Linked DNA regions of Saccharomyces cerevisiae S288C. The protein of the gene in region 1 interacts with the protein of each later gene in a biochemical or structural test. Each region holds a gene or a part of one and is shown in the gene's direction. Other genes may lie near its edges. The genes, in order: FRK1, YAP3, YOL107W and PLP2.

The links.
Region 2: of the proteins of FRK1 (region 1) and YAP3, one has a biochemical effect on the other in vitro, tested with the Saccharomyces cerevisiae proteins (one large-scale study listed by BioGRID).
Region 3: of the proteins of FRK1 (region 1) and YOL107W, one has a biochemical effect on the other in vitro, tested with the Saccharomyces cerevisiae proteins (one large-scale study listed by BioGRID).
Region 4: of the proteins of FRK1 (region 1) and PLP2, one has a biochemical effect on the other in vitro, tested with the Saccharomyces cerevisiae proteins (one large-scale study listed by BioGRID).

What each region holds. Positions count from the first base shown.
Region 1 is NC_001148.4:282,264-289,826, reverse strand, and holds FRK1 (protein kinase FRK1), read left to right. Parts: upstream 1-3,765; coding exon 3,766-6,363; downstream 6,364-7,563. Other genes in the region: UME1 (Ume1p), read left to right, coding at 1-158; putative mitogen-activated protein kinase kinase MKK2, read left to right, coding at 793-2,313; 60S ribosomal protein eL33 RPL33A, read right to left, coding at 6,857-7,161. UniProt on the Saccharomyces cerevisiae protein: Putative serine/threonine-protein kinase that may be involved in rRNA transcription and ribosome biogenesis.
Region 2 is NC_001140.6:81,971-87,963, reverse strand, and holds YAP3 (Yap3p), read left to right. Parts: upstream 1-2,903; coding exon 2,904-3,896; downstream 3,897-5,993. Other genes in the region: YHL009W-A (gag protein), read right to left, coding at 814-2,055; ETP1 (Etp1p), read left to right, coding at 4,243-5,993. UniProt on the Saccharomyces cerevisiae protein: Transcription activator involved in the regulation of genes expressed in response to environmental changes.
Region 3 is NC_001147.6:108,984-115,289, forward strand, and holds YOL107W (uncharacterized protein), read left to right. Parts: upstream 1-3,118; coding exon 3,119-4,147; downstream 4,148-6,306. Other genes in the region: SHR5 (Shr5p), read left to right, coding at 193-906; ZEO1 (Zeo1p), read left to right, coding at 1,314-1,655; INO4 (Ino4p), read right to left, coding at 2,448-2,903; WSC3 (Wsc3p), read right to left, coding at 5,155-6,306. UniProt on the Saccharomyces cerevisiae protein: May play a role in retrograde transport of proteins from the Golgi to the endoplasmic reticulum.
Region 4 is NC_001147.6:844,212-850,128, reverse strand, and holds PLP2 (Plp2p), read left to right. Parts: upstream 1-2,999; coding exon 3,000-3,860; downstream 3,861-5,917. Other genes in the region: thiosulfate sulfurtransferase RDL1, read right to left, coding at 75-494; HUA2 (Hua2p), read right to left, coding at 920-1,651; YOR283W (phosphoglycerate mutase), read right to left, coding at 1,984-2,676; FSH3 (putative serine hydrolase), read left to right, coding at 4,337-5,137; RFM1 (Rfm1p), read left to right, coding at 5,499-5,917. UniProt on the Saccharomyces cerevisiae protein: Essential for cell growth. Inhibits early G-protein signaling events following pheromone stimulation. Inhibits the folding activity of the chaperonin-containing T-complex (CCT) CCT2 which leads to inhibition of cytoskeletal actin folding.

The sequences.
Region 1 (7,563 bases):
AAATAGGAGAAAATAATAAGGTTAATACCGTTGCTTATCACAAATACATTGAGGATCTAGTTGCTACAGTTGATAGTGACGGGTTGTTAACTGTATATAAGCCGTTTACTGGAAAAGTTTTAGATGGCAGTAGAGAGGTTGGAGCTGCCAAAAGTTAATTTTTATATTATTTAGGCTGTTTGAGTTTGGGGCGGAAATGTATGAATAAATTGTGTAATATTTAGTCTTTACTTCAGCTTTTGTTTTTCTAAAAATTTGTTTTTAATGTTTTATTGTCTGAAGTAAACATTAATTATTAGCTTGAGAATTGCTCTACATGTATATATAAACGGCAAGGATCTACTCTTTAATATAGAGAAATGTACATACCTTTGAAAACGCGTTTTCAGAGTTTAGAATGTATAAGGTAACCTTAGAACCACATCTCTTATTGCCAGACTCTCAAAGGTGAACTGATATTGAGCCTATTTTACCCTTGTTTATGTTCACTTTCTCAATGCGAAAAAAAATCAAAAAGAAATAAACTTTATCCTTAGAGTTGAAGAATTAGAAAGAGAATAAATCAAAGGGATCAGTTGGGAAAGCTCAATACTTTCCGCTTAATTTTACTGAAAACCTCATCAAACACGTAGGCACATATATATTCATATATTTATATGTTGGCTACCTTCTAATTTGCATGAAATTCGTTCGCTCAAAAAATTAGACATTTTACTAGTAGCAAGTATTACCTGATTAGCATAGCAGGCACTGTTATCATATCTACAAAATACCAATTATATACACAGGATAATGGCTTCAATGTTCAGACCACCAGAATCCAATAGGAGTCACCAAAAGACTCCAAAATTAACGCTTCCAGTAAATTTAGTTCAAAATGCGAAATCCACTAATGATGGGCAACATCTCAACCGGTCACCGTACTCGTCAGTGAACGAAAGCCCATACTCCAACAATAGCACTTCAGCTACTTCCACTACGTCATCCATGGCTTCAAATTCCACTTTGTTGTACAATAGATCATCTACTACAACTATTAAAAATAGACCGGTACCACCTCCATTACCTCCCCTAGTACTAACGCAAAAAAAAGACGGTATAGAATATAGAGTTGCCGGCGATAGTCAGCTTTCTGAAAGATTTTCTAATTTGCATGTTGATATAACTTACAAGGAACTACTATCTAGTGCTCCAATTTCCACTAAGTTATCCAACATAGATACCACTTTTATCAAGAAAGATCTCGACACACCAGAAGGCGAGGATTCATACCCCTCGACACTTCTTTCTGCGTACGACTTCAGCAGTAGCGGGAGCAACTCCGCCCCTTTAAGTGCAAATAACATAATTTCTTGTTCCAACTTAATACAAGGAAAAGACGTAGACCAGTTAGAGGAAGAAGCATGGAGGTTTGGGCATCTCAAGGATGAGATTACTACACTAGGAATTCTAGGAGAAGGCGCGGGTGGTTCTGTAGCCAAGTGCCGATTAAAAAATGGAAAAAAGGTTTTTGCGTTGAAGACAATCAACACTATGAATACTGACCCAGAATATCAAAAGCAAATATTCAGAGAGCTACAATTTAATAAGAGTTTTAAGTCCGATTATATTGTGCAGTACTATGGTATGTTTACCGACGAACAGAGTTCTTCAATATACATTGCCATGGAATATATGGGAGGAAAATCACTGGAGGCAACGTATAAAAATTTGTTGAAACGTGGCGGTAGAATAAGTGAGAGGGTGATAGGAAAGATAGCAGAATCTGTCTTAAGAGGTTTATCATACTTACACGAAAGGAAAGTCATCCACAGGGACATTAAACCCCAAAACATTCTTCTTAATGAAAAAGGGGAAATCAAATTATGCGATTTCGGTGTCAGTGGGGAGGCTGTTAACTCTTTAGCGATGACATTTACTGGAACGTCATTTTATATGGCCCCAGAACGAATACAAGGCCAACCATACAGCGTAACCTGTGATGTATGGTCCTTAGGATTAACTCTTCTGGAGGTTGCTGGAGGGAGATTTCCATTTGAATCTGACAAAATAACGCAAAACGTGGCTCCTATAGAATTATTGACGATGATCCTGACGTTTTCTCCCCAGTTGAAAGATGAGCCAGAACTAGACATATCCTGGAGCAAGACATTTAGATCTTTTATCGACTATTGTTTAAAAAAAGATGCCAGAGAGAGGCCTTCTCCCAGGCAAATGTTAAAGCATCCCTGGATTGTAGGGCAAATGAAAAAAAAAGTCAACATGGAACGGTTTGTAAAGAAATGCTGGGAAAAGGAAAAGGATGGGATATAAACTTCCAACATTTTCCTCTCGTAACCAGAACTGACTTTTTCTACAACAGGAATTCTTTAACGAGACTTCTCCTCCTTCACCATTCATAAGTTTAACGATGTTCTTTTATTATCTAGACACTCCGAAATATTCTTAACATATACGTATATAGTTTACTGAAAACCGAACTAGCCATGGGCTATGAAAGTTCTCCTATTTCCTTACTTACATCAAATAGAAATGCGCATCCAAGTCTTTCTGGCAGGCACGCTATGATGTGCTAAATTATGACTCAAGTGAGTACTAGGCGCTTTTGTACTCAGCCGCGCGGGGAAAATTTCTTCCCTCCCTACCAAAGAGGAAAAAATCATATGGCGTCATATTATCCTATATACAACGGTCGAACAAAAATCTGCTCGACTCAGAAAAATAAAAGGGTTTTAACATACTTATTGCTTACTTAAGTTACCACTTCAGTAACTGGAGCTATAAATACAATAAGCGTTTTGTACGTAGAAAATATCCTCTATATTGCCTGATTTTCTTTAGTTCCGACAAGGGCTCCGACCACGGGACAACCCTTATGATTTCTGTTATAAGGCCTATTTGTTCTAGTTACGACGACACTTACTGCTGTCTCTTGACCGTTTTTGCTATACTCATCCTCTTACCATTAAAAAAATAAAGAAAATGGACTCGAGTAAAGATGAAACCATATCTCTTTAATCACAACATACTCACTCTATGGGAGATTCTATTCTCCTTAGGTTAGTAAATGGCATTATAAATTAGCAAGCGTAGCCTCTTCAGCCTATACATCAGCTGAACCTGCACAATTAATGTCATGTGGCCGACGTAATGCATATCCATCTTTTTTACTCCCTTAAAAGAAGGTTTAGCCCCTACTGTATACTCAATGAACAGATAATGTCTATCCATAAAGTATATCATTTCAGGAACCCTAAATAATAGTGCTATCGTTACATATACTTTTAAATTTCATATTGCATTAAAATGCCGCACACCTTTTATGTAAACAAAGCCGCACTTCCTAAAAAAGCAATTGAAAACAATCGAAAGAATGAGTGTAGAACAGCAAAAAAGGTAAACAAGAGAAAAATTCTGAAACCCAGATCAACACCTGTTTCAACCCCTTCATCGATTTAAATATAATTCAAGTTCAGGTCATCGAGTAAATCTATAATAAATCAGATCACAAAATCTGGTACACTGCTGTTGCTGATCACGGTTCTTTTCATCTTTAACACATTTTCGCAGTTTTTTGACTGTGCCACATTTTGCATTAATTTGTTTCTTGTGACGTGTTTGCGAGAATTTTTTGATTGCTAATTAAACCTAACAATAATCGCTATTTTTTTTACCCATCCACAATACAAGAAAGGCGAGCCAAGCGGCGTTCAATATTCAATTGGCCATTACTTCTATATACTGATTTAGAGTGCCAAAAATTTAATGTCGTACACCAATAAACGTCATACATACTACGGAGGGTTTACCAACGATTTGTCTGACACATTTCAGTACCCTCAAAGAACAGATGAGCAAAGGCGGAAACATGTAACGTTTGGTCCTTATATCCTAGGGTCGACGTTAGGAGAAGGAGAGTTCGGAAAAGTGAAGCTAGGCTGGCCAAAGAATTTTTCAAACAGCTCTAATTCAACTTTTGACTTCCCAAAACAAGTAGCAATTAAACTTATCAAACGTGATAGCATATCGAATGATTACAGGAAAGAAGTTAAAATATACAGAGAAATCAACGCCTTAAAACACTTATCACATCCGAATATCGTAAAATTAGAAGAAGTGTTGCAAAATTCTAGGTACATTGGTATTGTCCTAGAGTACGCATGCGGGGGAGAATTCTATAAATATATTCAAAAAAAAAGGAGGCTTAAGGAAATGAATGCATGCAGGTTATTTTCTCAGCTAATAAGTGGAGTACATTACATACATTCTAAGGGACTTGTTCACAGAGATCTCAAATTGGAAAATCTATTACTAGACAAGAATGAGAACCTAGTTATTACAGATTTTGGGTTTGTCAATGAGTTTTGCTCACGAAACGAATTAATGAAGACGTCATGTGGCTCTCCATGCTACGCAGCGCCTGAACTAGTGATAAGCGCCGAACCATACGAAGCTAGAAAAGCAGATATATGGTCATGTGGAGTTATACTTTACGCTATACTAGCTGGATATTTACCGTGGGATGATGATCCAAATAATCCTGAAGGCAGCGATATAGGAAGACTTTATAATTATATTAACTCCACACCATTAAAGTTCCCTGATTATATTCTTCCTATACCTCGGGACTTATTAAGACGCATGCTGGTCTCAGACCCAAAGAAAAGAATAAACCTGAAACAGATCAAGAAACATGAATGGCTAAAGCCTCATTCTTCATTCTTATCCATAACACCTGATGAGTGGGACAAACTAAACAATACTCAATCCGTGTTCAGATTAGCAAAACCAAGAAGAAGATATGGATCTAGACCACAATCCAGTTGTTCTACCTCATCTCTTGGCTCAAGGAGTGATAAAAGGGATTCACTGGTCATTGATTCAACTTTAATTACTTTCCCGGCTCCGCCTCAAGAATCACAAAATCATATTATAACCAGACCGGCTTCTATTGCATCTGACCAGCGGCTGTCACCTATAAGAAGATCTAATAGGCACAATAGAAGTAACTCTGCTGCATCCGTTGCCTTGCAGGCAGTGGTGAACGCAGATAGGGAATATGTGTTAAGTCATGAACAATCATTATCCCCAGTACAAAACATTAGACAAACTACGGGAAACATGACTGCCAGTCTTTCACCTCCACCAGCCATAAGTCCAGGCGATATTATAATCGAAACCACACCTATTAAAAGAAATACAATTTCTGGGAGTAGTATTGTACCAAGTTTAGAAGAAGAGTCGTCTACCACAATGCAAACAAGCAAGATTCAACCAAATAACATGGCTTCATCACAAAATCATCAATACAATAAAAATAAGACCCAAAATAGTCTCCAATCTGCTAAAAATTTCTACCGTACGTCTTCCTCATCCCATACAAAGCCACGGCCAACTTCATACCATCCTGGCTCATACACAACACCTCCCTACAATTCAAATACGCTCTCCATATATGAGATCAACGAAAAAGCTAAAAGTAGCGCTTCATCACAAACGCTGAATCAAAGAGACACATCCCCATTTGATTCCACACCATACCTTGCCCTAGATACATGCATAACCTCATCCTCTTCCATCGAAAGCTCTCCAAAGTTAATTACGCACGGCCAATTTTCAGTAGCAAAACCCTCTGTTGATTTGCAAAGCGTATCTGGTGACTTGATCAAGTATAAGAGGGACGCTGATGTAGTAACGAGAATCTATGATGAAAAATACAAACAGAAGCGCAAAAGTTTGAGATATAGCGGCATATTCAGTGACATCTCATGCGATACGGTCACCGAAGAGTCTGATGAATTGAGGCCACCAGAATCTCCTCTTCAACAACATGAAGGACAAGAATCAATTGATAAGGCGAAAACGGAGGACACAAGTGAAAAGGGTAGTAAAAGTAGCAACATCGCGAAAGCTACAGCACAAAAACACGTCAATAACCATCTAGAAAGATCACTTAACGAAGCAGAGTCAACAAAGAAAAGATTTAGCTTTCTTTCCTTGTACTCTTATGATACTTCCAAATCTAGTTTATACTCATCAATGGATTCCAAACGGAAACCTTCTCCACCTTCCCAAAGACGCCCAAAAAAGGATGACAGTTATCAAACAAATTCAAAGAATCATTATATCACTGCTTCAAATATGCAAACATCCCATCAAGTCTCAAAAGACCTGCCTGCACCAACGATGGTGCAAAATAAATGTACTTTAGAAACTAAAAAAGCGGTCCGAAGCAACAGGTCCTCCATAATGGTATCTGAGGTCAACAAGGCAAGCGTAGACAATAAAGCAGCCCAAAGTCCAGAACATTCAACCGCAAAAAGAGTATTAGGGTTTTTCAAAAGAAGAAGTATGAAAATCTAGAGATAATACCTATCTCATTTGACAATAATATCCACTTATCATATGAAAAAATCAGTACTATCTGCAATTTTTCCATTTAAAATGTCTGTCGCTAAAATTTTGCGATTTGCCAGACCAACAAAATAATGTTATAATATACTTTATGAAATTTCAATCTAATAAACATTGAGCATATATATGCATATACCTACCATATATATTTTGCATTACTAAAAACATCAAAAATTTTTCTAAATTGTTACTTATTATCAATCATAGCTTCACTCCGCTTGAATCACGTCTTCTAAGCGGGAACATTGTTTCACTGCGCTTACAGCGAGATTCGCAGACATTTTAAGTAAGAAGACAATTTCTTTTGCCTTTTGTACGGAATTAATTTTAAAAATTATACTATATATATATTAGTCTTTTCTATTCTCAAAATATAATAATATTAATAGTAATAAAAGAGAAAATAACGATGTTTAATAGAGTACTTATACAATCAACAAATTTAGATGTTGGATGGGTACAAGAAGATTCTAACAGAAGCACCGAAGGTCTTGGCTGGCAAATTGTTTCTGAAGGTGGCTCTAACGACACCAGAGTTACCGTGAGTTCTGGTAACCTTACCCCACATAACTCTAATCTTAGAACCCCTGACTTCCTTGGAGGCTCTGTAGACGTAGGCAATACGCTTACCCAAGTAAAATTGAGCATCTTGTGGAGTAGCGACACCTTCGATCTTGATCAAAGAGACATTTGGGTTGTTGACTCTCTTGGATCTTTGGTAGGATAAGTGCTTACCTTTGACGTACACTAAAAAAAAAAAAGGAATAAAATCCCAAAACAAAATGTTAGTATTTAATGATCATCTTAGATGGTGGTTATTATTGAGCTAGCAAATTCTGTATTATCGAAGAGTTATGCGACTTCATCATCAAGCTTAGGCTTCTCCATTGTCGAAGAATGCCATAATTTAGAGCTTTTAACAGTCAAATTGGATATCGATGGTAAATGTGATCTCGTAAATTTCGATACTGCAAATTATTTTATAAGTTACCCAGAAACGATAGTAGACTCTTTTATTATAAAGATAAAACTTAGATATAGTTCTGGTATACTTGATTTGTTCTACTTGGACCCTTTAGCTGTCTGGTGTTAAATCTGAGTTTTGCATTCATCTTACACTTTCTATATTCTTGCACATTTTAGTCACCA
Region 2 (5,993 bases), on another chromosome or scaffold:
AATTGTGTTTCCACGTACTGAATATTCTTTCTGATTTGAGCTAAAATAGTTTCAGCATTCTTATTGAAGTGTGTGGAGGTCATGCAATATCTCGTGTTGTTATCCACCATAATAAGCATGTACCTTTTAGTGTCCGCGTTTGAACTTGATACAGGGCCAAATATATCCATGCACCATGATGATCCTGGTTCATGATCAGTACTATGATTATTCATAGACCCGGTATAATGATTTCTTTTCGTGGCTTTAGAGATTTTACAGGTTTGACACCAAAATTCATTTGGTTCTTTGATTAAGTCAAGGGATTCTTCATAATGATTATGTTTTATGGAATTTTCAATTTGTTGAATTCCTGTATGGCCCATTCTTTTATGAGCATCTTCCAAGGTAATAGACCTTTTATTTAGTTTAAATCCAGGAGAAGAAGTAGGTTTTATTGCATTTATTTTTGAATCATCGGAAGGACGTTCAATTAACTCGTTCATTTTTACGTGAATGACACCATTAACTATCTTGGTTTTAATTTTTATGATTTTGTTTCCCAATCTGGTATATTTTCGACTTAAAACCATTTTGGTTTTCTTGGCTAAGTCATAACAGCTGATTATAGTGGATTCTTCTTCCGGTACATAGTAAGTCAATAAACACTTATTGTCAGTATTGTTGTGACCATTCTTGATTTTTATATAGCCATACCCTTTAACAGACACTGAACTGTTTTTCCCAATACCAAAAAATCGTGTACTGCGATTACTGTCTTCGTAATTATGCAGTAAGGTTTTGTCATTGGTAATGTTTACGCCGGAACCGGTATCAATAATTACCAGTTTTTTGCTGTTGTACACTTTGTTTGACTTTTTTTGTGTCTTGTTCCAAGACTTTTGTTCGTTTTGCACTGGACTTAAGTTGTTGTTGTCTCTGTGCACCTTGTAGATAATAGGTTTTTGAGAAATTGGTCGAGTCAGGCCTAAGTTCCCTATTTGGTTTCTTTTTGCAGTTAATTGAGCAATGGAAAACAGATTTGCAATACATGCAGCTATTTTCTATTTGATCGTCTGCAATTGGGCTCAAATCAATTACTGTTTCAATAACAGTATTGATTAGAAATTCTTCGTGATTAATTCCTACGTTATGTGGAATGTTGTACAAACGTTGTTTCACAGAATTTCTTAAGGATTCATGTAAGGTTCCCATGATAGCTTCTTGTAGGTAATCCTTTAGATTAGGACAATCTTGGCAGCATTTAGAAAAAATCCATTTTTCCATTAGTACCAACTTTTGAAGTTTATTCATTAACAATGCGGAATTTCTACATGTTGTATCAACCAAAACCTTTTCCCAGGCTCTAATTCTGACATCTCTACCATGTAAACTTCTATATTTGTTTTTTAAACCATCGATTATCCTAAAAATGTCAGTTGTATTTGTGTTCATGATATCTAAACTTTCACCGAGTCCTTCTTTGATTATCTTGCACAAGATTTCATTTTCACGAGGATCGATTTCTATGATATCATTTTCAAAGACATCATCAAATTGATATTTCTTGATGAATTTTTTAAAATTGTTTAAGAGAATAGGAATGTTCTCGACATTATTAGTCCTATAATCAAAAACACAATCCTTAGGGTAGAATCTTTTGTTGGTTGAAGTTAACGTATCGAATAAATAGTAAGTCCCTGTAGCATCTATATGTTCATGTAATATATTATTGTTCTCGTTTGTTTCCAATAATTGTATCTTTTCAACTAGATCCACAATCCTATTCTCAACCTTGTCAATGGTTTCTCCGAGTTTTAATAATTTTTCAGCTAGCATCTGAATATCATCAGTCTCAGAAAGTTTTTCCTCTTCTGCCTTTAAACCATTTAGTATGGTTTTAAACCTATTTAAGTTTCTTTGATATTGTTTCACCTGTTCATCTTTAATAGAAACTTTTCTTAATGATGATGGCGTCTGTCTGACAGTATCATTTGTTTTGACTTTCGATTGAATCCGCGCAGAAATGTTGTCGTCAATAACATTTCTTGTTTCATCCCTCACTGGGGTCGCCATGTTGATAATTAGAGGTAAAAAATTAGTATTAATGAAGAAGTGAGTACTGATCTTCTTATACTAAATAAGAGAGGTATATAAAACACACGCCGATTGGTCATATTAATTATGACCAATATAATAGTGATTCCGGTAGTTACTATACATTGATGTGACGACTCATATTCCTCATATATGTACCTACCATAACATGTTCAACTAATAGGTCTTTAACACCGCTTCAGTATTGTCTGAGCTTCTCGTTTAACATTCCTTCTGCAATAGGCGCAATCACACTTAAACGTATACGAGTTGTACATTAATATACGATGTAAGCATTAGATTGTTACCATAGCAACTCATGTCACTATCAATTACTCTCGTTCCAACAGTATGATTCATATTTTATATAATATATATAAGATAAGTAACATTCCGTGAATTAATCTGATAAACTGTTTTGACAACTGGTTACTTCCCTAAGACTGTTTGTATTAGGATTGTCAAGACACTCCGGTATTACTCGAGCCCGTAATACAACATAATCAATAAGAATTTGGTTTCGTGGTCTAGTCGGTTATGGCATCTGCTTAACACGCAGAACGTCCCCAGTTCGATCCTGGGCGAAATCAATTTTTTTTGAATTTTTTTTTTTTCTTTAGAAAAATGTATAGTGGATTTTCGTAGCTTTATGTTAAGAGTACAGCAACGGCATTATTATTCAATAAGCATTATAAAACAGATCGATTTGAATATTACCGGAGGCCCTCTGAGCTTTCTTATTTGTTTATCATTTCGATAAAAGGGGCAGTAGGTGTTTGCTTTACTTCCAGTATAAACTAACGAAGAATAAGGCTGAAGCAATTGTTATGACGCCTTCTAATATGGATGATAATACCAGCGGATTCATGAAATTTATTAACCCTCAATGCCAAGAGGAGGATTGTTGTATCAGAAATAGTCTATTCCAAGAAGATAGCAAATGTATAAAACAACAACCAGACCTATTGAGCGAGCAAACAGCACCCTTCCCAATTTTGGAAGACCAGTGTCCTGCTTTGAACCTTGACAGATCAAATAATGATTTGCTATTACAGAACAACATATCTTTCCCTAAGGGTAGTGATCTTCAAGCAATTCAACTAACCCCTATTTCAGGCGACTACTCTACCTATGTTATGGCAGATAACAATAATAATGATAATGATAGTTATAGTAATACAAATTATTTTTCTAAAAATAATGGTATATCTCCAAGTTCGAGGAGTCCCTCAGTTGCTCATAATGAGAATGTTCCAGATGACTCTAAGGCAAAGAAAAAGGCTCAAAACAGAGCCGCCCAAAAAGCCTTCAGAGAGAGAAAAGAAGCCAGAATGAAAGAATTACAAGATAAATTGTTAGAAAGTGAAAGGAACCGCCAAAGTTTATTGAAAGAAATTGAGGAACTAAGAAAGGCAAATACTGAAATCAACGCAGAGAACAGACTGCTACTGCGGAGTGGTAATGAAAATTTTTCAAAGGACATAGAAGATGATACCAACTACAAATATTCTTTCCCAACGAAAGATGAATTTTTTACCTCTATGGTCCTGGAAAGCAAACTGAATCACAAAGGCAAGTATTCGCTAAAGGATAATGAAATTATGAAGCGAAATACCCAGTATACTGACGAAGCAGGAAGACATGTACTAACAGTCCCCGCCACCTGGGAGTATCTTTACAAACTTTCAGAAGAGAGGGACTTTGATGTGACATACGTTATGAGCAAATTGCAAGGACAAGAATGTTGTCATACCCATGGACCTGCGTATCCAAGAAGTTTAATCGATTTTCTAGTGGAGGAAGCTACTTTGAATGAATGAATAGACTTTGACAAAAATAACTTACAAACACTAAATAAGAAAGGGCAGGCAACATCTTCATGAGGCAAACCAGGTTCTTTTTTTATTGACTTCGAAGTATACATTTTCATCGCATAATTGACACACAATACGCCCTTTACCATTCCAACCTACTACACCTTTTACTTATATAAGTGTATAAACTATGTTCTTACGCGGTGTTTTTAGGGGACGGCCTGTTATAAAATGGAAAATATAAAAATGAAATTTCACCCGCGGATTAAGTAAAAGTTCAAAGGAAAACACATAGAGGCAATAACGGAATAGTAGCATTGAATGTATTACTTTCTGGTTGGCCCTCACATCTATGGATCAATTTGAGTATATCATTACTTTAGAATTTGGAAACCAAAATCAGGTTGAATCCGCTTATCAAATTTTCAAGAGTATTCCGAAAAAGTTGAAGGCAAAAAGTATCGGGGAAGAAAGTATTAAAAGTAATAATCAAGACTGGCAGGATTGGAGAGTCTGTGACTTGGAAATAGACATGATAACTGATTTCAAAAATCAAACATCAAAAGAAGAGGAAAGTGATTTGATTACTTCACAATACTTAGGCCATGGGATAATAAGGCTATTCAAGCTAAGCAATGCCAATAATACTCTTAATGAGAAGGAGATTTTGACTATCCCGGGAGATGATACTATGATATGTATCCTGTTTGTTCCAACTTATTTTACCGTTCACGATTTATTGCATTTTTATATTGGTGATGATATTGTTAATAAGCAAGTTTCAAACTTTCGTATATTACGAAATCAGCAGAAGGGAATGGGTTTTAATTTCACGGTCTTAATTAAATTCAGGAATGCACTTGATGCGAAAAATTTCAAGGAAGAGTTCAATGGCAAAAGTTTCAGCAGGATGGATCCCGAAACATGCCATGTGATCTCTGTAAAAGAAATAGTTTTTCAAAAAAAGCTCTTCCAAAGACCAGCCGCTAACGAGGACTTCCCCTATCTGCTTACTGATCCATTCACTGTTAAGAAAAAAAAGGAACTGGTAAAAGTCGAACTCCCCACATGTCCCGTTTGCCTTGAAAGAATGGATTCAGAAACTACTGGATTAGTAACGATCCCGTGCCAGCACACTTTTCATTGCCAATGCTTAAATAAGTGGAAGAATTCAAGGTGTCCAGTGTGTCGACATTCAAGTCTGCGGCTAAGCAGGGAATCATTATTGAAACAGGCAGGTGATTCCGCACATTGTGCAACATGTGGTTCCACTGATAATCTATGGATTTGCTTGATCTGCGGTAATGTTGGATGCGGTCGTTACAATTCCAAACACGCAATCAAGCATTATGAAGAAACTTTACATTGTTTTGCGATGGATATACGGACACAAAGAGTGTGGGATTATGCGGGTGATAATTATGTCCATCGCCTAGTTCAAAATGAAGTTGATGGGAAGTTAGTAGAGGTCGGCGGCTCCGGTGACGATGACAACAATGATATAGGCAACTCCGATGAACTACAAAATGTTGTTTACGGGAACAGGAGCAAAAACGGTGAGAAATCGAACTCTAATAAAAAAGATGGCGAGCTGGCGGCAAATTTTTTAAGGCATAGGGAGTATCATCTAGAATATGTGCAAGTCCTAATATCTCAATTAGAGTCTCAAAGAGAATATTATGAACTGAAATTACAAGAAAAAGATCAAACTGCGTCTGATTCTTCGAATGTTGAAAGTTTGAAGAAGTCTATGGAAGATTTGAAACTCCAATTTCAGGTCACTCAAAAGGAGTGGCAGAAAAGGGAAATGGCCCAGAAATCTAAGCTTGAGGAAGATATGTTAGTAATCGAAGGACTACAAGCGAACCTAGATCACTTATCAAAAAAACAAGAGCAGTTAGAGCGAGAAAACAAAGCGTTAGAAGAGTCTAAACAAGATTTGGAAGAGCAAGTCAAGGACCTAATGTTTTATCTAGATTCTCAAGAAAAATTCAAAGACGCTGATGAGAGTGTAAAAGAAGGTACCATCCTAATACAGCAACCACATGGGGCAGCACAGGCATCCAAAAGCAAGAAGAAGCGCAACAAAAATAAAAAAGCAGG
Region 3 (6,306 bases), on another chromosome or scaffold:
TGCATGTTTTCTTCTTTTCGTTTTTCCTTTGTTTTTTTTGGTCGTAGTTGTCGCAAGCTCGGCCTCCGGCCTGATTTTAAAACTATTCCTAATTCAAGATTCGGTAAAAAAGATATATAATAGCTAAGGGGAGGAGAGGAATAAGAGGAAAAAGTTACATTAGAGGACAATACTCAATCTAACCCTTACTAGATGTGCGATAGCCATCAAAAGGAAGAAGATAACGCAAATACGAGCGAAAGGGCGTTATTTTTTAATTACCATGAGTTTTCGTATTCATTCTACGAAGACCTCGGTTCCGAAGACGCTAAACCCACAGAGCACGACGAAGACCACAAATTGTGTATTACACATTTCCCGAATGTGTATGCTGCTCGGGGCTCTGCCGAGTTCCAGGTGACCCGGGTGGTACGAGTGCCCCGGCGGTTCGATGAGTCTCGCAGCAGCCTTGAAACGCCACAATTTAGTACACAGCTTCCCGGTAGCGAGCCGGCGGCAATCGTGGGCGACGATGGCACTAGCTTTGTGCGGTGCGGGCGTTACGACATTGGGGATCACGTGTTTGGCTGCTCCTCCGTCTCGCCTCTGTCAGAATATCTTAGTGCGGCAGAGCTCGCGGAGGTTGTGCACCGGGTAAACGGATTCTTGCTGCGTGAAGAAGGTGAGGTGTTCGGGTGGCGTAACTTAAGTGGCCTGTTGCTCGATATGCTTACGGGCGGTCTGTGGAGCTGGGTTTTGGGGCCCCTTCTTTCTAGACCTGTGTTTCAGGAGTCTCTCGCGTTAGAGCAGTACGTGGCGCAGCTAAACTCGCCGGGAGGTCTGCTTCACGAGCGCGGTGTGCGCCTAGTATTGCCCCGACGGTCCGGGTGCCTATCCCTAGATTTCGTCGTGCCCCGACCCAAATAGTTAAACGTGTGGTTTATGGGTGCACCAGGGCTTTATCGTGTTTTATATCGATGGCGATTTGTGCCTCCAGTGTATTTTTGTATATCCAATTAAGGTTTCTTACCTAATTTTATTTTTATCATCTTTAGTTAATGCTGGTTTGCTCTGTTTCTGCTGCTTTCTGTGCGGTTCTCCTCTTCTCTTGTTTCTTCGTGTTGTCCCCCATCGCCGATGGGCTTATATGGCGTATATATATAGAGCGAGTTTTTACGTCGAAGATCATCTCAGTTTGCTTGATAGCCTTTCTACTTTATTACTTTCGTTTTTAACCTCATTATACTTTAGTTTTCTTTGATCGGTTTTTTTCTCTGTATACTTAAAAGTTCAAATCAAAGAAACATACAAAACTACGTTTATATCAATTAATAATGTCTGAAATTCAAAACAAAGCTGAAACTGCCGCCCAAGATGTCCAACAAAAGTTGGAAGAAACCAAAGAATCTTTGCAAAACAAGGGCCAAGAAGTAAAGGAACAAGCTGAAGCTTCTATCGACAACCTAAAAAATGAAGCTACTCCAGAAGCTGAACAGGTGAAGAAGGAAGAACAAAACATTGCTGATGGTGTCGAACAAAAGAAGACCGAAGCTGCCAACAAAGTTGAAGAAACTAAGAAGCAAGCTTCCGCCGCCGTCAGTGAGAAGAAGGAAACCAAGAAGGAAGGCGGTTTCTTGAAGAAATTGAACCGTAAAATTGCTTCCATTTTCAACTAATCACACTTGAATGTGCTGCACTTTACTAGAAGTTTCTTTTTCTTTTTTTAAAAATAAAAAAAGAGGAGAAAAATGCTGTTTATTCTGACCTTTTACATAAATTTTTCTTAATTGTATCTATCTAATAACTAATCAATATAATAATAATAATACTAATAATAATAATAATAATAATAATAATAGTAGTAGTAGTAGTAGTAGTAATAATGATGATGATGATGATGATGGATGATCAAAAGCCACAAAAAAGAATGCTCCGAGAATAACCTCGGCGGTTATTTCACGTCCCGGAGGAAAAAAAGTTTGATAAGAAAGTAAAAATATGAGCGGTACGAGAATCGAACCCGTGTCCCCACCTTGGAAGGGTGGGATGATAACCACTACACTAACCGCCCGGGTTAATTGTTATTAGTTGGTGAAACTGATCTCAATCACTATAACATTATGGTCTCTTAATAGCAAAGGCCAACCAACTGACTTCTTGCAAACTGATGTTCAATTTTAGCTCTAAAATAAAACAATGTAAAAGAAAGATAAAATGACATAAAGCACTATCGCTTCAACGGCAAACAATATTGAAAAAGTATCACATTATAGTAAGTTGAACACTAAAAGATTAAATAAATACTTCGGCACACTTTCGATGAAGGAAAGCATTAGTAGTAACGTATATATATCATTGTTGTTGCTACTTTTCTTTGTGGGATATGCACCACTCCCCTCTGCAAAGTGAAGAAAAGGTATGGGAAGAATTTCTTCGCTTATATTACTTACTTTACCCTACTCCTTGAATCACTGACCACTCTGTCCATCACCCAGCTCCCAAATTAACTCCTTCGGTACTAAATCCCGAATGTTTCCATTTTGTTCTTGTACGGGATCGCTGCTGCTGCTGCTGCCGGTTTTTGCCTCATGCTTAGCTATGATTTGTTTTCTCAGCTTTTCATTCCTTTCATACAACCAACTTAAGTAACTCAAGCTTTTCAGGTATATGATTAGTTCTGACCGACTTTCCTGGGGTTGCAGGTCAGGTACTACTGCTACCAGTTCGTCAAATATAGCTCTTTCCAATTCTCTCCTTTTTTTTTCAGACGAAACATGATTTATACGTATTTGACCATCAGTCAATTTATTAATCTTCTTAGACCTGCGTTTCCTTTTCTTCACATTAGCCAGTTCACCCTTTATCTCCTTAATCTCGGACAATCCCGGCTGTATTGTTTGTATCTCCTTAATATCGTTCGTCATTATTGCTTTTCTCTTTTTAGTTCAAGCCGCCCTCTTAACTCCTTCGTCAAGCTTATCTTGTTGGCATTGGAATTTCGCAAACGCAATCGCGCCTCTGTCTTTAAGGTGAGAAAAACATGTGAATATTTTGTTTGATACGTAACAAGCTCATACAAACCAAGCCAAGAAAAAGAAGACGACTAATCTATTTATAACAAAGATATTTGTTCACTATAATGCAATATAGTTCGAGGTTCCTAGAATTGAATATCCCGGATTCATTTTTAAATATCAATAAGATTCCTGATGCTACTAAATTTATTACAGTCACTTATATATGCTTAACTGCAACCCTTTTCTGTATAAGGAGATCCTTGTACAACAAGCTAGTTCTTGAAGACCCTAACTTGGACTACAACTTGATTACTTCGCCGCTTTTGCAAATGGTACCTTCGCAGATTTGGAGGTACCCCACCTCATTAGTTCTATCCAACTTCATCGACACTAAAGCTTGGAAGGTGGTAGTGAACTTATTGAATTTGATCATTGGTGGATCCTTCATTGAACGCAATTGGAACTCTTCCAAAGAAATGTTCAAATTTATCATAGTTTTAGGTTCTCTTACAAACGTTCTGATCATCATGCTGACTTTGTTAGTATCTTTTTTCTCTAATAAGGTAAGGCTGGATATTCCCTTAGACGGGAACTACACAATTTTAATCGGTTTCCCTATCATTTATAGACAGTTATTGCCTGAAACAACTATAATCCATCTGAAGACACCTCAATTTTTGGCCAAAAACTTTAGGTTCAAATTACTACCCATTTTTGTAATGTTTACAATGACGGTAACCCAAATAATATGGTTTCATCATTTTGCTCAATTGTTCTCCATTTGGGTTACCTTTTTTGCCAGTTGGTCGTACTTGAGGTTTTTCCAGAAACTTGCACCCTTGAATTGTCCCTCTTTGCCAACAACTAATTCTCAAGGTGGTCAGGAAATATTGGTCGGCGATGCATCTGATACTTTTCAATTGATTTACTTCTTTCCTGATCTAATTAAGCCGATTTTGAGGCCGATTTTCAATTTCATTTATAATGTAGTTGTTGTAAAATTTAAAGTCATTAAACCTTTTCATGATATTGATATAGATATTGGGAACACCATCGCAGAAAGTAGAGGCGCCAAAAAAATTATGACTGTAGAAGAAAGACGAAGACAGTTAGCTTTACAAGTTTTGGAAGAGCGTATGGTAAACCCTTGATATATGGATCTATATAACTTGAAATATGCTCTATTATATCGTGATTTAATGACGGCTGTTGGCATTTCGGTCTTTACCAAGGTAGTAGGATTTGTATGCTGAATGTGCGCCAGTACTATCGAACCATAGAAACCCATATATTCCCCAATATTAATAATTCTACTGAGAAATGGGTGAATTTTGAAATAATTGTTGGGATTCCATCGTTGATAAAGGCTATAATATTAGGTATACAGAATGTACTAGAAGTTCTCCTCGATGATATAGGAATCCCCATAATGGAATCTATATTTCTATGTACCAATATTACGATTATTCCTCATTCCATTTCATATGTTTCATTATCCTATTACATTATCGATCCTTGCATTTCAGCTTCCTCTAACTTCGGTGACAGCTTCTATAATAACTTATGTCACTATCTAACACCGTATATGATAATATATTGATAGTATGACTACTAGTTGATAGACGATAGTTGGTTTTTATTCCAACATCTACATAGTGGCACTCACTACGCTGCTAAATTTGATCATTTGGTGAATAATTTGATAATTAGTAGTTCTTCTCCGGGATATAGGAATCAACAAAAGGAAAACGATAGTTTTACATAATAATATTAATTTATCTTGCTTGGTTCGCCTTTGAAGAGCGCAGCTTTCAGAGATTTAGCTTCTATGGCCAAGTTGGTAAGGCGCCACACTAGTAATGTGGAGATCATCGGTTCAAATCCGATTGGAAGCATTTTTTTTTAATATTTTAAAATTGTTTATATTTTTGTACCACAAACATCATTAGAAGCTGCAAATGAAGTGAATCAGAAAATTTAAAAATGAAACTAAATACTAAATATTATTGTTCTTTTTCTAACAGTTGAAGTGCCAAAAGCAGTAAATTGTTTAAATATTAGGGTATAAAACATGATATTATAAAGTTAATGATTTAGAATGGCTCCGTCCAGCAGAACCAGTTGATTACCATTAATGTTGAGAGTTTATGCGAGTTTTTCAGGCTCGATTATGAGATACGGTACTAGATAATTCAGGATTATCAGGATTATCAGGGTTTACCACTTGCAATGGTCCGCTCATCATCATGTCGGGTAAAGAATTGGCACTGAACCTTTCATTTGCACTATTCAAAGTATTTGCCTCTTCAAAAACTGTCGATGGAAGGTTCTGTTTCTGAACCGTAGCATCTTGTAAGCCAGCCAAGTTGTTTATGATGCTTCCACTGGTGTTTGAACTAGGACTACTATAATTTGCACCATTACTCATAGAAAAACCATACATATTACTTGTACCGATAGAACCCGCTGTATTACCCCTTGAATGTCTCATCCAATTTGTCGTACCAGAGGAGGGAGGCGGTCCTATTGGATTTGCATCCTCATCACCGAACGAATAGGGCTGATAATGTTTCGTTTCCTCCAAGTCTAATTGGTCGTGCGATTTCCGTCTCCTCCATATCAGGAACAATAGAATCAAAATAATAAAAATTACGCCAAACACAACACCAATAACAATACCGGCAATGGCTCCACCACTCAGACGCTGCTTCGAAGTCGAATTAGATCTATTATTTGAGGCGGCAGCAGTAGCAGTAGCTACCTCAGAAGATCGTTCAACCACGGATGTCCTCGTAACAAATATTGTTTCCTGATGTTGATCAGAAGTACTCACGATCGCTTTTGTAACCACACTAGTCACTAGTTCCACTGAGGTAACTATTGGTATCGTTGATGACGTACTAGGGGTCATTGAGGTCACTTTTGGAGTTGATAGTGTGCTGCTACTCGAGGACACTGGCACCAAGGTGGAAGAGGGTGAAGAAGTACGGCTATCGACTGTGGTATGCTCAGATGAGGACAATGTAATGGATGAGGAGCTAGACGTAACAGAAAAGATAGAGGTAGTAGAGGAGGTAGTAGAGGAGGTAGTAGAAGAGGTAGTAGAAGAGGTGGTAGAAGAGGTGGTAGAAGAGGTGGTAGAAGAGGTGGTAGAAGAGGTAGTAGAGGAAGTCGAGGAAGAGGTAGTAGAAGAGGTGGTAGAAGAGGTGGTAGAAGAGGTGGTAGAAGAGGTAGTAGAGGAAGTCGAGGAAGAGGTTGTTGAAGTGGTAGAAACTGTCGTGGCTATCATTTCAGAACTTTTCATATCTGT
Region 4 (5,917 bases), on another chromosome or scaffold:
CGGTGTGACATAAATGGCATAATACGTTACTAGCTTACGAAAATACACAGGGTACATACCTAGAGTATACAAGGCTATAAGTCAAGTTTATCACCCCCATGAGAAACCCAATCATTCATAGAGCCAGGATATAGTGAGGTGTTTGAATATCCATGTGAGGAGGCGACTTTTTGAGCTTCTCCCCCGCGTTTGCCAGAAGCACAATAAAATATTAGCTCCTTGGCACTGTCAGGTTTTGGGATGCCAATCTGTTTCTCAAATTCTAAAGGATCTAAGGCAAATGCGTCAGGGTGCGATCTATATGGCACATTGATGGAAGCAGGAATATGAACAATCGAGTACTCAGATGGTTCTCTAACATCTACCAAAACCACATTAGGATCATGCTTTCCAACGATTCTTTTCATGTCTTCAAAACTGTAAGATTGAATATTTGAAACATTCTTACTTTGACTCTCGGTTCCATTCCAAGCATTCATCACGGCCTTCCACATTTTAATATCGTTTCTTAGTCACAAACCCTGAAAATAAACGAGAAAGAATTCTTTGATTGATTAAGCCTCCACTCTCTTTTATACACCTCAAAAATTCTCCCCTTACTTCCTTCCCCGCGGGTAATAATATTCTCCAAAAAAAATACAAAAGCAATCAGATGTAACTTATATAGGTTCCAAGATAAATAACAAATTATTTGTCATTGCAAGTAGGAAAAGGACATACCGTAGGTGATATCTGGATTTGGGCCTTATGGAAGCCAATCTTAGTAGTAATTCGTCCATATGTCTACCAAAGGGGATAACAAAAAAGTACAACTACAAATTTTTCACACAGTGTCCCGTTAATTTCATATACTCAATATGCTGCGTTTAATCAAGAAAAATTCTGATATTTTGCGACAGAAGGTGTCCCTGGAAAGCGCTTAGTATGCTGTATGATCTTTGAAGTACAATGCACAGGGAAATAAATCACCATATCTGACGATCATCTTGCTAGTTTCTAAGTTCGGAACATCTTGTCTATGCGCCAATAAAACTAGTTTTACATCGTACAGAAACACTGTCCACTTAGAACTGGACACTTGTTTGCCCAGTATAGTTCTGATACTATTATTATGTATAATTCCCTCAATATTAAGCACTTTATGCAAACGTGTTGGCCCATTGAGGCATTGATATACGGCAAGTAATAGCACCTTTTGCTTCTTACCTTTATCAATTTGGAAATAATGTTCGAATTCTATTTTATTTTGCAGAATCCTTAGTATATTTTCTTCGTCGAACTTTTGTACACTATTTAGCTGAAACTTCATAAGCTTTCCGCTCAAATTAACCTTTGCATTTGTTGATGTCTGGCTATTCATTGGGGATGGGACCGGCTGGTGAGTGGACCTCTTACATTGTAATGATTTGTTCCTTTTCTGTAAAAGTTGTAGAAACGCGTCGTAGTACTTCTGCAAGTCGGCAAGAATGGGTTCAATCTGCTGAACGTCCAAACTAAAATCCTCCAAAAGATGTCGCATTTGATTTTCAATCATTGACAATCTCTTTTTATAGCCCAATGTAATACGATCGGCTTCGACAATTTCATCTTCTGAGTACTCAACTACCGAATCGTGGTCCAAATACATCTTGCCAAATTTTGTTTGTTGCATAGTTTCACTGATATACAATTCACCTGAATTTACCACCGACAGAACATATCCATTTCTCTGCTATGGAGTATCAATGTAGTCTTGTTACATATTACGACACAGTTTTCTTTCCTTTAAAATAAACGCGTCGTTCTCATCTCATGTGAAAAACTATATCAATAATATAAAAACATAAAACCCCTATAATTTATGAACATCTACTGCATTTAGATAAACCCTTACGAACTATATGTTTTAAAATAAAATACACGCATGCGAAATTTCTATTACTACCTAAACCGCATTTCTAATACAAAATGAGAAAAACCCAACAGTGAATAACCATATAGTGTCTAACGTAATCTTAAGTCACTGACGACAAATTCGCCATCACCAAGATGTTGGGTGTTTCCGACACGTCTCACAATAAACTGCTTGGAGTCCTTGACGTAATCAACTATAGTGACAGAGGTGTTGAAAACAATGATCTTATGAGCTTGATGATTTTCATACTTTAACCATTGTAAAATCATTCTGATAGCACCTCCATGACTAACTAGGGCTAGATTCTTGACACCTTCATTAGATGCTTCAGCAACTTCTTCTTCGACACATCCAGTTAACCTAGCAACAAAATCGTCACTTTTTTCCCCAAAATTTCTAAAGGAGCCTTCACCATGTTTATCAGCATACTTTTCAGCCTCAGTAATCTGCATACCTTCAATAACACCCATATAACGCTCCCTTAACCCCGAAGTATAGGAAGTAGGCACATTTTCTTGTTTTGAATGTTTCAAAACTAAAGCCGTAGTTTGCCTACACCTTTTTAAATCACTACTGACAACCTTATCAAAATGAATACCTCTTGAACGCAAGTAATGCCCCAATTTAGTGGCTTGTTCTTCTCCCGTAGGATTGATCGAGGTATCTTTGTGACCTTGCAAAATTTTTTTTACATTGTGTTCTGTTTGTCCATGCCTAATAATGAATAATCTGATGATGTTGTTATCGTCATTATCGCAATAATATGGTACTTCCTTAGTCATTCTTGGGTATAAATATATTTTTGGGTGCTTGTATAGCTTCGAGCTTCGTTGCCGCTTTGATCTTACAGTATGAGACTAATTCGAACCAGAATGAATAAAGCAATACTTTATGTTCTACAATTCAAAAAAGAATTAAGTAATATTGTGACGACCTGATTTTCCCATTGTATTAATATCGCTGGAAAAAAAATTACTGAAAAAAGAGGAAATCCCGCTAGAGGAAAAAAAGAAAAGGTTATATGATCGACCTGAAGAAATCTGCAGTACAAGATAACGCCTTCGAGTAAACATCACTGAGAAGAAAGGCATATTCAGCAGACATAATGCAGAATGAACCAATGTTTCAGGTCCAGGTGGACGAATCTGAAGACAGTGAATGGAACGATATTTTAAGAGCGAAGGGTGTAATACCAGAACGTGCACCTTCGCCCACTGCAAAGTTAGAAGAAGCATTAGAAGAAGCAATTGCCAAGCAGCATGAAAATAGACTAGAAGATAAAGACTTGTCGGATTTGGAAGAACTAGAAGACGATGAAGATGAAGATTTCTTGGAAGCTTACAAGATCAAAAGATTAAATGAAATCCGCAAATTACAGGAACGTTCCAAATTTGGAGAAGTTTTCCACATTAACAAACCTGAATACAACAAAGAGGTTACTTTGGCCAGTCAGGGAAAGAAATATGAAGGTGCACAAACCAATGACAATGGTGAAGAGGATGACGGTGGTGTCTACGTATTCGTTCATCTCTCGCTTCAAAGTAAACTACAAAGCAGAATTCTGTCTCATCTTTTCCAATCTGCTGCATGCAAATTCAGAGAAATAAAATTTGTAGAAATACCTGCCAATAGAGCAATTGAAAACTATCCCGAATCCAATTGCCCGACATTAATTGTATATTACCGGGGTGAGGTAATCAAAAACATGATAACGCTACTAGAACTGGGTGGTAATAATTCCAAGATGGAAGACTTTGAAGATTTTATGGTAAAAGTTGGCGCTGTTGCAGAAGGAGACAACAGACTGATAATGAACCGAGACGATGAAGAATCCAGGGAAGAGAGAAAATTGCATTACGGTGAAAAAAAATCGATCAGGTCAGGTATTAGAGGAAAATTTAATGTCGGCATAGGTGGAAATGATGATGGCAACATTAATGATGATGATGATGGATTTTTTGACTAAATAGTGCGAATATTCCTTATTTACAGGCTAAGTGGTGTCACTATCCCCATTATTTAATATATACAGATATAAAGAACAGCAAACTTTGTCATGTACTTCTCTGAATGTTTACGCGAGGATTACGGTATGTATGATTGAACATCGCTGCAGCATGGATTTTAGTAAGAGCCGTTGTCATGGCAACCAATTAAAGCTCTTTAATTACCGTCAAGCATACTTAGGATACAGATACAATAAAACCCCTTATTAAGTTCGAGCAGGCACATCTTGACAGAATAAACCTTTTAAATCGTCATATGGAGCATGGTCTGGTATCAAGTTTTACTACTTTTTCGCTTTGTTGTCAGAGGATAGAAATTTACTTTTTCTAGTTGTGCGTATAAAGAACACTATGGATGCAGTAATACAGAAAGTAATCTGTTCTACTTCGGTGCATTTTCAAACTGAATTCTACCACAAACCCCAGAATTATTATTATGAGTGAAAAGAAGAAAGTTCTAATGCTACATGGTTTTGTCCAATCCGATAAGATATTTTCTGCGAAGACTGGAGGATTACGAAAGAATTTGAAGAAGTTAGGTTACGATTTATACTATCCTTGCGCCCCACATTCAATTGATAAAAAAGCGTTATTCCAATCAGAGTCAGAAAAGGGTAGAGATGCTGCGAAGGAATTCAACACCTCAGCGACTAGTGATGAAGTATACGGGTGGTTCTTTAGAAATCCCGAATCTTTCAATTCCTTTCAAATAGATCAAAAGGTGTTTAACTATTTACGTAACTACGTGCTAGAAAATGGACCATTTGATGGTGTCATTGGATTCAGCCAAGGTGCAGGTCTTGGGGGCTACTTAGTCACTGACTTTAACAGAATATTAAATCTTACTGATGAACAACAGCCCGCTTTAAAATTTTTTATTTCATTTAGTGGATTCAAATTAGAAGATCAATCCTACCAGAAAGAATATCATAGGATTATCCAGGTGCCCTCTCTACATGTAAGGGGGGAGTTAGATGAAGTTGTAGCAGAATCTAGAATCATGGCATTGTACGAGTCATGGCCCGATAACAAAAGGACATTGTTGGTTCATCCTGGAGCCCATTTTGTCCCAAACTCGAAACCATTCGTATCCCAAGTTTGCAATTGGATCCAAGGAATTACTAGCAAAGAGGGTCAAGAGCATAATGCCCAACCTGAAGTAGATCGGAAACAATTTGACAAACCTCAATTGGAAGATGATTTGTTAGATATGATCGATTCCTTGGGTAAATTGTAATTCGATAATTGATATTTATATGAGCTACATACAATTTTTATAAAACTATTGAAAATATCGACGAGAAAAAGGAATAGTGTGACTTTTCTGCCGCCTTCTTTGACGTTTGATTTTCTATACCTGATTTATATCTGTTGCTAAAGAAAGAATTTTCGCGGCACACGAATGATATATATTTAACGTAAGGATTTCTTTTATCTGGCGGAAGTATCTCAATATATTAATATTAAACGCTGTTGAACACTATCCTAGGAACACTGACAGCTAGAAGTGATCATAAGACATTGCATATAAAATAACTATTAATTTTAATTAAAAGAATTTAATTAGAACAACAGGAAGGTGTTATAAGAAAGTGCGAATGAGTACAAATACGGAAATCATAAAAAATAGTGATTTGCAAAGTTTAATCAATGATAAGAGGAGGTTAATAAATGAAATAAAAGACTTTAATAAATCCATTAAACCCTTGGAGTTTGAATCGTATCAGGATTATTTCCTGATAAAAACGTTCAAAAAAGGAATATCTGCAAGTGGCCATGTGGATATTGACAGTTTAAGAAATAAAGAATATGGAATATACTACAAGAAAATCAAGAGGAACTCTACACAAGAAGTCGGCGAACCAATCCCTCGCAACACATCCTCCTCCTCCTCTTCTACTAGATCAAACTCATCAGCTGATATCAGCGATACAGAATATTCAGGTGAGAACACTCCTACAACTACTGGTGCTGCCAGTCGAAGAAGACGTACGAGATCTCGAGCTATTCAAAGAGA